Oryctolagus cuniculus: one gene and its partner. The protein of the gene in region 1 purifies or fractionates together with the protein of each later gene. This does not show direct contact. Links are inferred from orthologs where the notes say so. Each region holds a gene or a part of one and is shown in the gene's direction. Other genes may lie near its edges.

The links. The genes of interacting proteins can lie anywhere in the genome.
Region 2: the proteins of INPP5K (region 1) and GART purify together in Homo sapiens (co-immunoprecipitation; 3 studies listed by BioGRID and IntAct, counting the BioPlex papers as one, with this or other methods). This does not show direct contact. The link is inferred for Oryctolagus cuniculus from reciprocal best matches to the Homo sapiens genes INPP5K and GART.

Annotation. Positions count from the first base shown.
Region 1 is NC_091448.1:47,058,304-47,062,053, reverse strand, and holds the start of INPP5K (inositol polyphosphate 5-phosphatase K), read left to right. Parts: upstream 1-1,248; 5' UTR 1,249-1,438; coding exon 1,439-1,572; intron 1,573-2,316; exon of another isoform or gene 2,317-2,782; intron 2,783-3,222; coding exon 3,223-3,330; intron 3,331-3,692; coding exon 3,693-3,750. UniProt on the Homo sapiens protein: Inositol 5-phosphatase which acts on inositol 1,4,5-trisphosphate, inositol 1,3,4,5-tetrakisphosphate, phosphatidylinositol 4,5-bisphosphate and phosphatidylinositol 3,4,5-trisphosphate.
Region 2 is NC_091435.1:11,488,735-11,492,384, forward strand, and holds part of GART (trifunctional purine biosynthetic protein adenosine-3), read left to right. Parts: intron 1-2,658; coding exon 2,659-2,865; intron 2,866-3,650. UniProt on the Homo sapiens protein: Trifunctional enzyme that catalyzes three distinct reactions as part of the 'de novo' inosine monophosphate biosynthetic pathway.

The DNA of each region.
Region 1 (3,750 bases):
TTAAATACCCCGCCCCCAGCCCGGAAACTGACAAGCACTCAAAGGGGCTCAGCTCCAGGAGAGCACCCCAGGGGGTGCCGCACCCCTCCGAGCAGCTGCCTCTGCAGCAGGGGTGCTGGGCTCTGGTCCTCTCACCAAGGTTGGAGATGAGGTCGGTTTTGAGGTCCCCTGGTATTACCTTCCCAAGTTCTCCTTTTACAGTCCCTACTGGGACGCCCTGACATTTTGGTTGGTTCCTAGTGCTCCTTCTTTTACAAACTACACTTTGTAGAACTGATTAGATTACCTTGTTTATTTAATGTGGGTTTGTGCCTTTTTGTCTCAATCTTCCAATACAGGTATATTGGGAAAAAACAGCAGTCTAATAAAATCCTAGACAGAGCTGTCTGGAGTCCAGCTAATTATTGGTGATGTTTTGATGCCCATTTTACAACTTAGATAGTCTCAAACTCTTACTGATGTCCCCCATTTTACCAGGGCAGGGTAAGGAAGAGGTTCAATGATGTCTCTTAAATTGCACGGGTGAATTTCCATAAATTAAGACGACCTTTGTCAACGCACTTGACACAGCTCGGCTGAATGTGATGCAGCCATGTTCTGCCCGTTCCCACGGCGCTTCCCGCTCCCCACACCTCCCCGTTCACTAGCCAGCAGAACAGTTCAGACAGCTCTGAACCTGGCTGCGGGGCCTGCGGACCGATGCAGCCCGTTTCTTAGATTGTGTGCACCTCCATCCCCGCCCCCTTAGACTGAGCCAAGGAGTGAACTCGCAGTGAATCTTGAGCGCTGTCCGTCATCTCTGTGGTGCCTGGTCTTCAGTGCAGACCAAATAGAAGCAGTGACTTATTTTCCCTGAGTCCAGGAACCCGGAGGCGTCCCGTGTGTAACAGGCAAACCAATGAGTTTGAAAAGCGAAGGCCACTTGAAGGTGGAATAGATTAGAACCAGGAATGGCCGTGCGAGCGCGGCGTGGAGCCGGGGGTTACCTGCGGTTGGGGGACCCGGGTCATAGGCGGGACAGTGGCTACGTGGCCGAGCACGTCTCTGCGTGGCGGGAAGCTGGAGGACAGCACAAAACCCAGGCCCGCAGACAGACCCCGAGCGAGGCACCGGCGGCCCCGAGACGCGGGCGCGGCAGCGACTTCCGCCGGAAGACGGCTCTCCCGCCGCCTCGCGCGAGGCGGGCCCGGGTGCCGGCGGCGGGCAGTGTTACGTCGTGCGCTGAGGACGGGCAGGCCACGCCTCGCTGACGCCCGGCTCCCCGGGCCCTTTTCTCTCAGCCTCTGGCGGCGCCGCGCTCGCTGGAGGGTCCCGCCTCCTTCGCCGAGCCGCACCACCCAGAGCCCTGGGTTTGCTCGAGGTCCGCCCCTTACGGGAGCCGAGGCGGACGGCCAGAATCCGGAAGAAAAACAGTCGGCGAGAGTGAGGCGGCCGAGCCATGGAGCTGGACCAGGAGGAGTCCAGCAGCGAGGAGCCGGAGCAGTCAGACGTGAGCCTGCCGGACGACCCCGAGAGCGTGATGGCCTCCGTGAGCGAGCAGAAGCCCAGCGAGCCGAATGTCTGGAAACTCAGGTGAGGAAGACGCCTGCTCGGGCCGGTCGCTGCCTTCAGCCGCACCGGGGCTGCGGACCTGGGGGCTGGGGACTGACCAGACTGGAAGGGAGGGGAACAGGCTTCTGCGGCTGCCCTCACCCAGAGGCCCTCCCACATTCTCCCAGGCCAGGGTCTAGTGGGATTTACTGGACCTGAGCCTCGCGCCCCCTCTGAACTTGGGCCGCCGAGCGCGTCCCCACTGGAACACTCCAAGCAGGGCAGGGGTGGCCCAGTTAGCAGGTGTCTGGAGCAGACAGTTGTGTTGGGCTGTCGCGGTGAAATCTCATTCCTGTTTGTGATCGGCACATGCATCATGAGGTCTGCCTGATCCCGTTATGACCTCCGGAAATCCGAAATCGGATTAAGATAAGAACCTTCGGGGAAGTGGTGTCGCCTGGTCTCATGCCTGCTCTTTCAGGAGGAACGGGGCTAATCACCCACTTGGTGGGAATCACGAGTGTGGATTTGCGCCTAAGCGTCCGACCTGAGTGTGGGGACAAGAAATCCCAACTCTGGTCCCCACGCACTTAGAGCAGGTGCCTGGGAAAACAAGGGGCCTTTGAGTGAAAGGGCTTGCTTTCTTAATCCTCTGTCGGACAGCAGGGGGAGATCGTAAACAGATGAAATACTTTGTCCACCGGGTGCCTGGGAAGGTGGGCTTGGAGTTGTTTGTTTATATTCTTGGGGAGGGGCAGGAAATTGCTTTAAGCCGGCCAAGAATTTCCTTCTGGTGGAGCAGAGGCATATGGGAGCGGCCCCCTTCCCCCCATCTCCTAGGCTGGACCTTCCACAGCAGCGGGTCTTCCTCCTCTCGGTGCACCTGGGACTGGTGCAGCCTGCTGGCTGTTCGTGAACTCTGCGGGATTTGCAGCTCCTGGGGCTGCTTGGGCAGATTTCTGTTAACTGCTCTGTGTGCAAGTCCCTCCTTGCGCCGAGGCTCTGAGAGCCACCGAATTGGCTCTTGCTCCCCTAGAATCTGTGTGGAGCAGAGGTGGAGAATGGCACCCGAAGATGACTTTCCCAGGGACAGGGAGATTGGAGAGAGATGTTGAGAGACACTTAGAAGTTCTCCTTGGGCTCCCTAAGTGCTTCCCAGAATTGGTTGTGCTGCGGGAATCTGCTGGGAGCAAGTGGAGGAAGGGAGCGTGGCGTCTCTCCGGCGGTGCTGTAGTGCTGAGGCCTTCGCAAGGTGCAGTCTGAGCTCTCCTCCTCCCGTCTTTCCGTCCCAGTCTTCCTGGTGGTTTCCAAACTCCCGGGGTTGAGACGTGGGGGCCGGAAGTCGCTGTCAGCCATAGATGCTGGCTGAGGTGAGGTGTGGATGGCTGGTGCAGCTGGTGCATTTCGGGAAACCCTGGCTGCCCAGCCCACAAGCTCTGGGCTCCGTTTGGCAGCTCTGCTAATGTGAACAGCAAGTGTGGGCAGCTGTGGGTCTGTATGGAGCAGCCAGTCTGGGGCACAGATGTCCTGCTCCGGGGGACACAGGTGAAGACCCAGGGCTTGTAGTCCAGTACCTCTGCTTCCTCCATCAGATGCAGAAACGCGTGTTTTCCATGTGACTGCAGCGGTGTGGGGGGCCACCGTGTCTGTTGTCCTCCTTCCTCCATGACGCTTTCTGCGCCCCTTCCACAGTATGCATGTCGTGACCTGGAATGTAGCCTCCGCAGCACCCCCTAAAGACCTCAGTGACCTGCTTCAGCTGAACAACCAGGACCTGGACCTGGACATGTATGTTATTGGGTAGGTGTCCGCAGGGCCCCTTCTGCCAGCCCTGTGTCTGAGATCAGCCTGACCGGTCTCAAGCTGTGCCCACGGAGAACAGCAGTAACCTGTGGAGGCGGAAGGCAGGGAGCTGTCAGCCCGAGTGGGGTCGGTGCTGTGGAGGCTGCAGACAAGGAGCTGTCAGCCCAAGTGGGGTTGGTGCTGTGTCTGCTGTCCGAGGGCAGCAGTGGCAGGGAACTGGAGGCCGGTAGCCAGGCAGCCAGGGAGGGAGGAAGCGTGGTCACCGACGGAGGCTTCAGGTCCTCTGAGGGCAGTGCTGAATGTCTGTGGCAGAGGCTCTGCCCTCGGCCGGGGACAAGCCTCTGACCTGGGGTGGTCAGTTTGCAGGAAATGAACTCTGGGATTGTAAGCTTCATTTCCGATACTGCCTTTGAAGAC
Region 2 (3,650 bases), on another chromosome or scaffold:
CCAGCTCTGCAGATGGTGGCTTTACCCACCTCTGCAGATGGTGGCTTTACCCACTGCACCACAGTCCTGACCCTACCACTTTGCTTTATTATCCACATTTGTAAGGCAGAAAATCTTCCTATGCGATTGGCTAATGTAAAAATGCAGTGCTCTGCAGTGAGCATCTCATATCAGAGCACTGGTTCAAGTCTTGACTGCTCTATTTCTGATCCGGCTCCTTGCTAATCTGCCTGTGAAGGCTGCCAAAGATGTCCCAAGTATTTGAGTCTCTGCCACCCATATGGTATACCAGGATGGAGTTCCTGGCTCCTGGCTTCAGCCTGGCTTATCCCTGGCTAATGTGGGCATTTGGGGCGTGAACCAGCAAACGGAAGATGTCTCCCCCTCTCGCTTTCTCTCCCTCTCTCTTTGACATTCTGCCTTTCAAGTAAATAATTCTTGAAAAAATTAAAATCAGTGCTCTGTGCAGATCTTCAAAGAGTGTTGGTAACTTCAAGTTCTATCATGAACCCTCATGCCGTAAAGCTATTAAGTAGTTCACGTAGGAAATCAGAGGACCTGAAGCATGACAGAAAAAGAAAATAGATTTGAGAATCATTTCATGCTTAGAAGGGAAAAGAAGTCCTGCGTTGCTAGTTAAATAGGGGAGTGGATGGTAACGTCATTAATTGAGGGGAAAGAGTAGGTTTGGAGTAGAAAGTGAGCATACGATTGTTTACATCTTCAGTGTTTATGAGCAGAAATGAAAAGCAGACTGCAAGTAAGTTGGGTGGTCATGTGCACATAGTAATAGTTGTAGCCAAGAGAGGGGAGGGGCCAGAAGGTCATCCCACAGTCAGAAGCAGGGGATGAAGCATGTCAGCGTACCATCGTCACGCCCAGTGAAGGGATTCGGATGGGGCACTGCTCAGCAGCACAGAGGTCTAGGAGGACCAGAAACTGGCCAATGTGTACTGCAGAGTTTCCCGGAAAGCAGCCTACTGGAGAGAGACCACCAACCGATTCTTGTGTGGAAATGGGTGACAGATGTAGAGACTGAGCAGAGATGCCTATTCCAGGACATTTACTGGTGAAAGGGAAAGTAGAAAAATTTAGCCACGTGACAGAGTGAAGGACAGGGTTTTTTCTCTCTGCTTTTTAGGATAGAGACGCAGTCAGAGGAACTGTTCTACCCATCATAGTCAACTAATAAGAATTGACTTGAGGGAATAGAAACCGAGGAAGATCACATACATAATTTCCCAGTGGAGTGGGCATCGTGGCGCAGCAAGTTAAGCTGCCACTTAGGATTCCCACAACCCATATTGGAGTGCTGGTTCCAGTCCAGGCTACTACTAGTCCAATCCTCCCTGCCACCCACGTGGGAGACCTGGGTGGAGTTCCTGGCTTCAGCCTGACCCAGTCCAGGCTCTTGTAGACATGAGGGGAGTGAAGAAGTGGACAGAATCTCTCTATCTTTCTGTCTTTCATTCTCTCTAACTTTTGGAAAAAAATCATGAAAAATTAGGGAAGTATGCATTTAGCATAGCAGGAAAGGTGCTAGTTAATATACCACATCCCATGTTAGAGTGCTGAGTTCTATGCCAAGCTCTGTCTTCTGATTCCAGCCTCTTGCTAATGCAGACCCTGGAAGGCAGCAACGATGGCTCAAGTAATTGGGCTTCTGCCACTTATGTGGGGGTTTCCAGCTTCAGCCTGCTCCAGCTGTGAGCATTGCAGATATTTGGGGAGAAACTGGCCATGAGAGTTGGCTCACTCCCTCGCTATCTGTCTGTCTTTCTCTCTTGCCTCTCAAAGATGTTTTAAGTAAATTTTTAAATATAAATCAGAGGTATACACAGCATGTTGAACTTAAACCTTTTCTGAAGCATGACTTTTCTTGAATTGTGTATGTATCTCCTCTAAGCCACCTAGTTTTACATCATACAGAGTATATTTTGGTCATCACCAAGACCCAGCTAACCATTCACGGAAAGGTGGTAAACCATCCTTTACTGAAGGTCACACATCTAATCCATCAGGGGACTTCTGAGGGTCTAGTTAGTTCACATAGCAGAAAACCTCACTCAGTTGTGAATACTGAGCCTGTCAACAAACAAGGTTCTTAATTTCTAAGATAACAAATGTATACCTCCCAAGACCTGTGCTGTAGCATAGATTAAGTAAGCCTCTGCCTGCATTGCCAGCATCCCATACTGGCGCAAGTTTGAGTCCCAGCTGCTCCACTTCCAATCTGGCTCTCTACTAATGTGCTAGGGAAAGCAGTAGAGATTGCCCGAGTCCTTGGGCCTCTGCCATGAATGTGGGAGACCTGGAAGAAGCTCTGGCTCCTGGATTCGGCCTGGCCCAGCCCTGGCCATTGTAGTCATTTGGGGAATGAACCAGTGGATAGCAGATTCTCTCTCTCTCTCTCTCTCTCTTTCTCTTTCTCTATCTCTATCTCTATCTCTATCTATCTCTGCCTTTCAAATAAATAAATAAATATTTTAAACAAAAAAAGTATTCTTCCCACCAAAAAGAGAAGTTCTGAAAGGCCAGTTATACTTTAGTCCTATGTGAAACAGCAAAGCCTGATTGTAATTTCTGTCTCCATATGTGTGTAACTTTGTACTTTTGTAGGAGCCAAGAAGCTAATCAGACAATTCTTGCTTGTTGCAGATGCCCGGACCTGGAGGATCCCTAGGATCTTCTCATGGTTACAGCAGGAAGGGCAGCTCTCTGAAGAAGAGATGGCCAGAACATTTAACTGTGGGGTTGGGGCTGCCCTCGTGGTATCAAAGGATCAGACAGAGTGGATTCTGAGGGACATTCGGCAGCACCAGGAAGAAGCCTGGGTGATTGGCAGTGTGGTCGCTTGTCCTGAAGGTAGTCATTCTTTGTTTTTATATGTCTAATCTTCAGTGTAACTGAACCCCACCTCATGGACACTCTGCCCACCTATTATTCCAGCCATTGTCGTTGTTAACCCCTGTAACATGACAGAACGCACCCCGTTTAGAGCACATTTCTCTTTCTGCCTCAGAGCTCTGACACCTCTGTCTAGTGCACACCTACACCCCACAGGGTCACTTCCTAAAGTGATCCCCCTGTTTGCAAGACCTCACGGCTCCACTTTCTGGTGCAGCCCAGTTCAGGGAGTAGTGAATGAGCATCCGGGTAAGCCCTGGGTATTAGTTAGGCCTCTGCTAGAAATGCTGGAAGTTGGCAGTGGCAGATCAGCTTAATTAAAAATGTCAGAGCTTGTTTTATTTGCCTGCATTTGTCTTTATTTCTTCTGTTGTGTAGCCTTCAGGCAGGTCCTCCAAAGACCAGAAGGATAACGCCCTTCAGCTCCCCTTATAACCAGAAACCACCTGTTTCTTACCATCCTGAATCGTGTCTTTGAGTGACCCTCCTGGAACACTAGCCTAGCCCCGTGCCAGGAGGTTGTGACACTTGTGGATAGTCTCACTGGGAGGATTAATCAGGGATTAGGGACAGATGCTGGCAGGCAGTGACAGCCTCGTAAGCTTCTGACAAGCTGTTCTGTAGCTCTCGGTTGAAGCAGGTGACTGCATGCGTTCACCTTCATCTTTGTGAATGAGTAATGTTAAGTGATAAACCTGTTAATTTAGTCCTTGCCTATCTTATTTTCAGAACAAAATACAGTA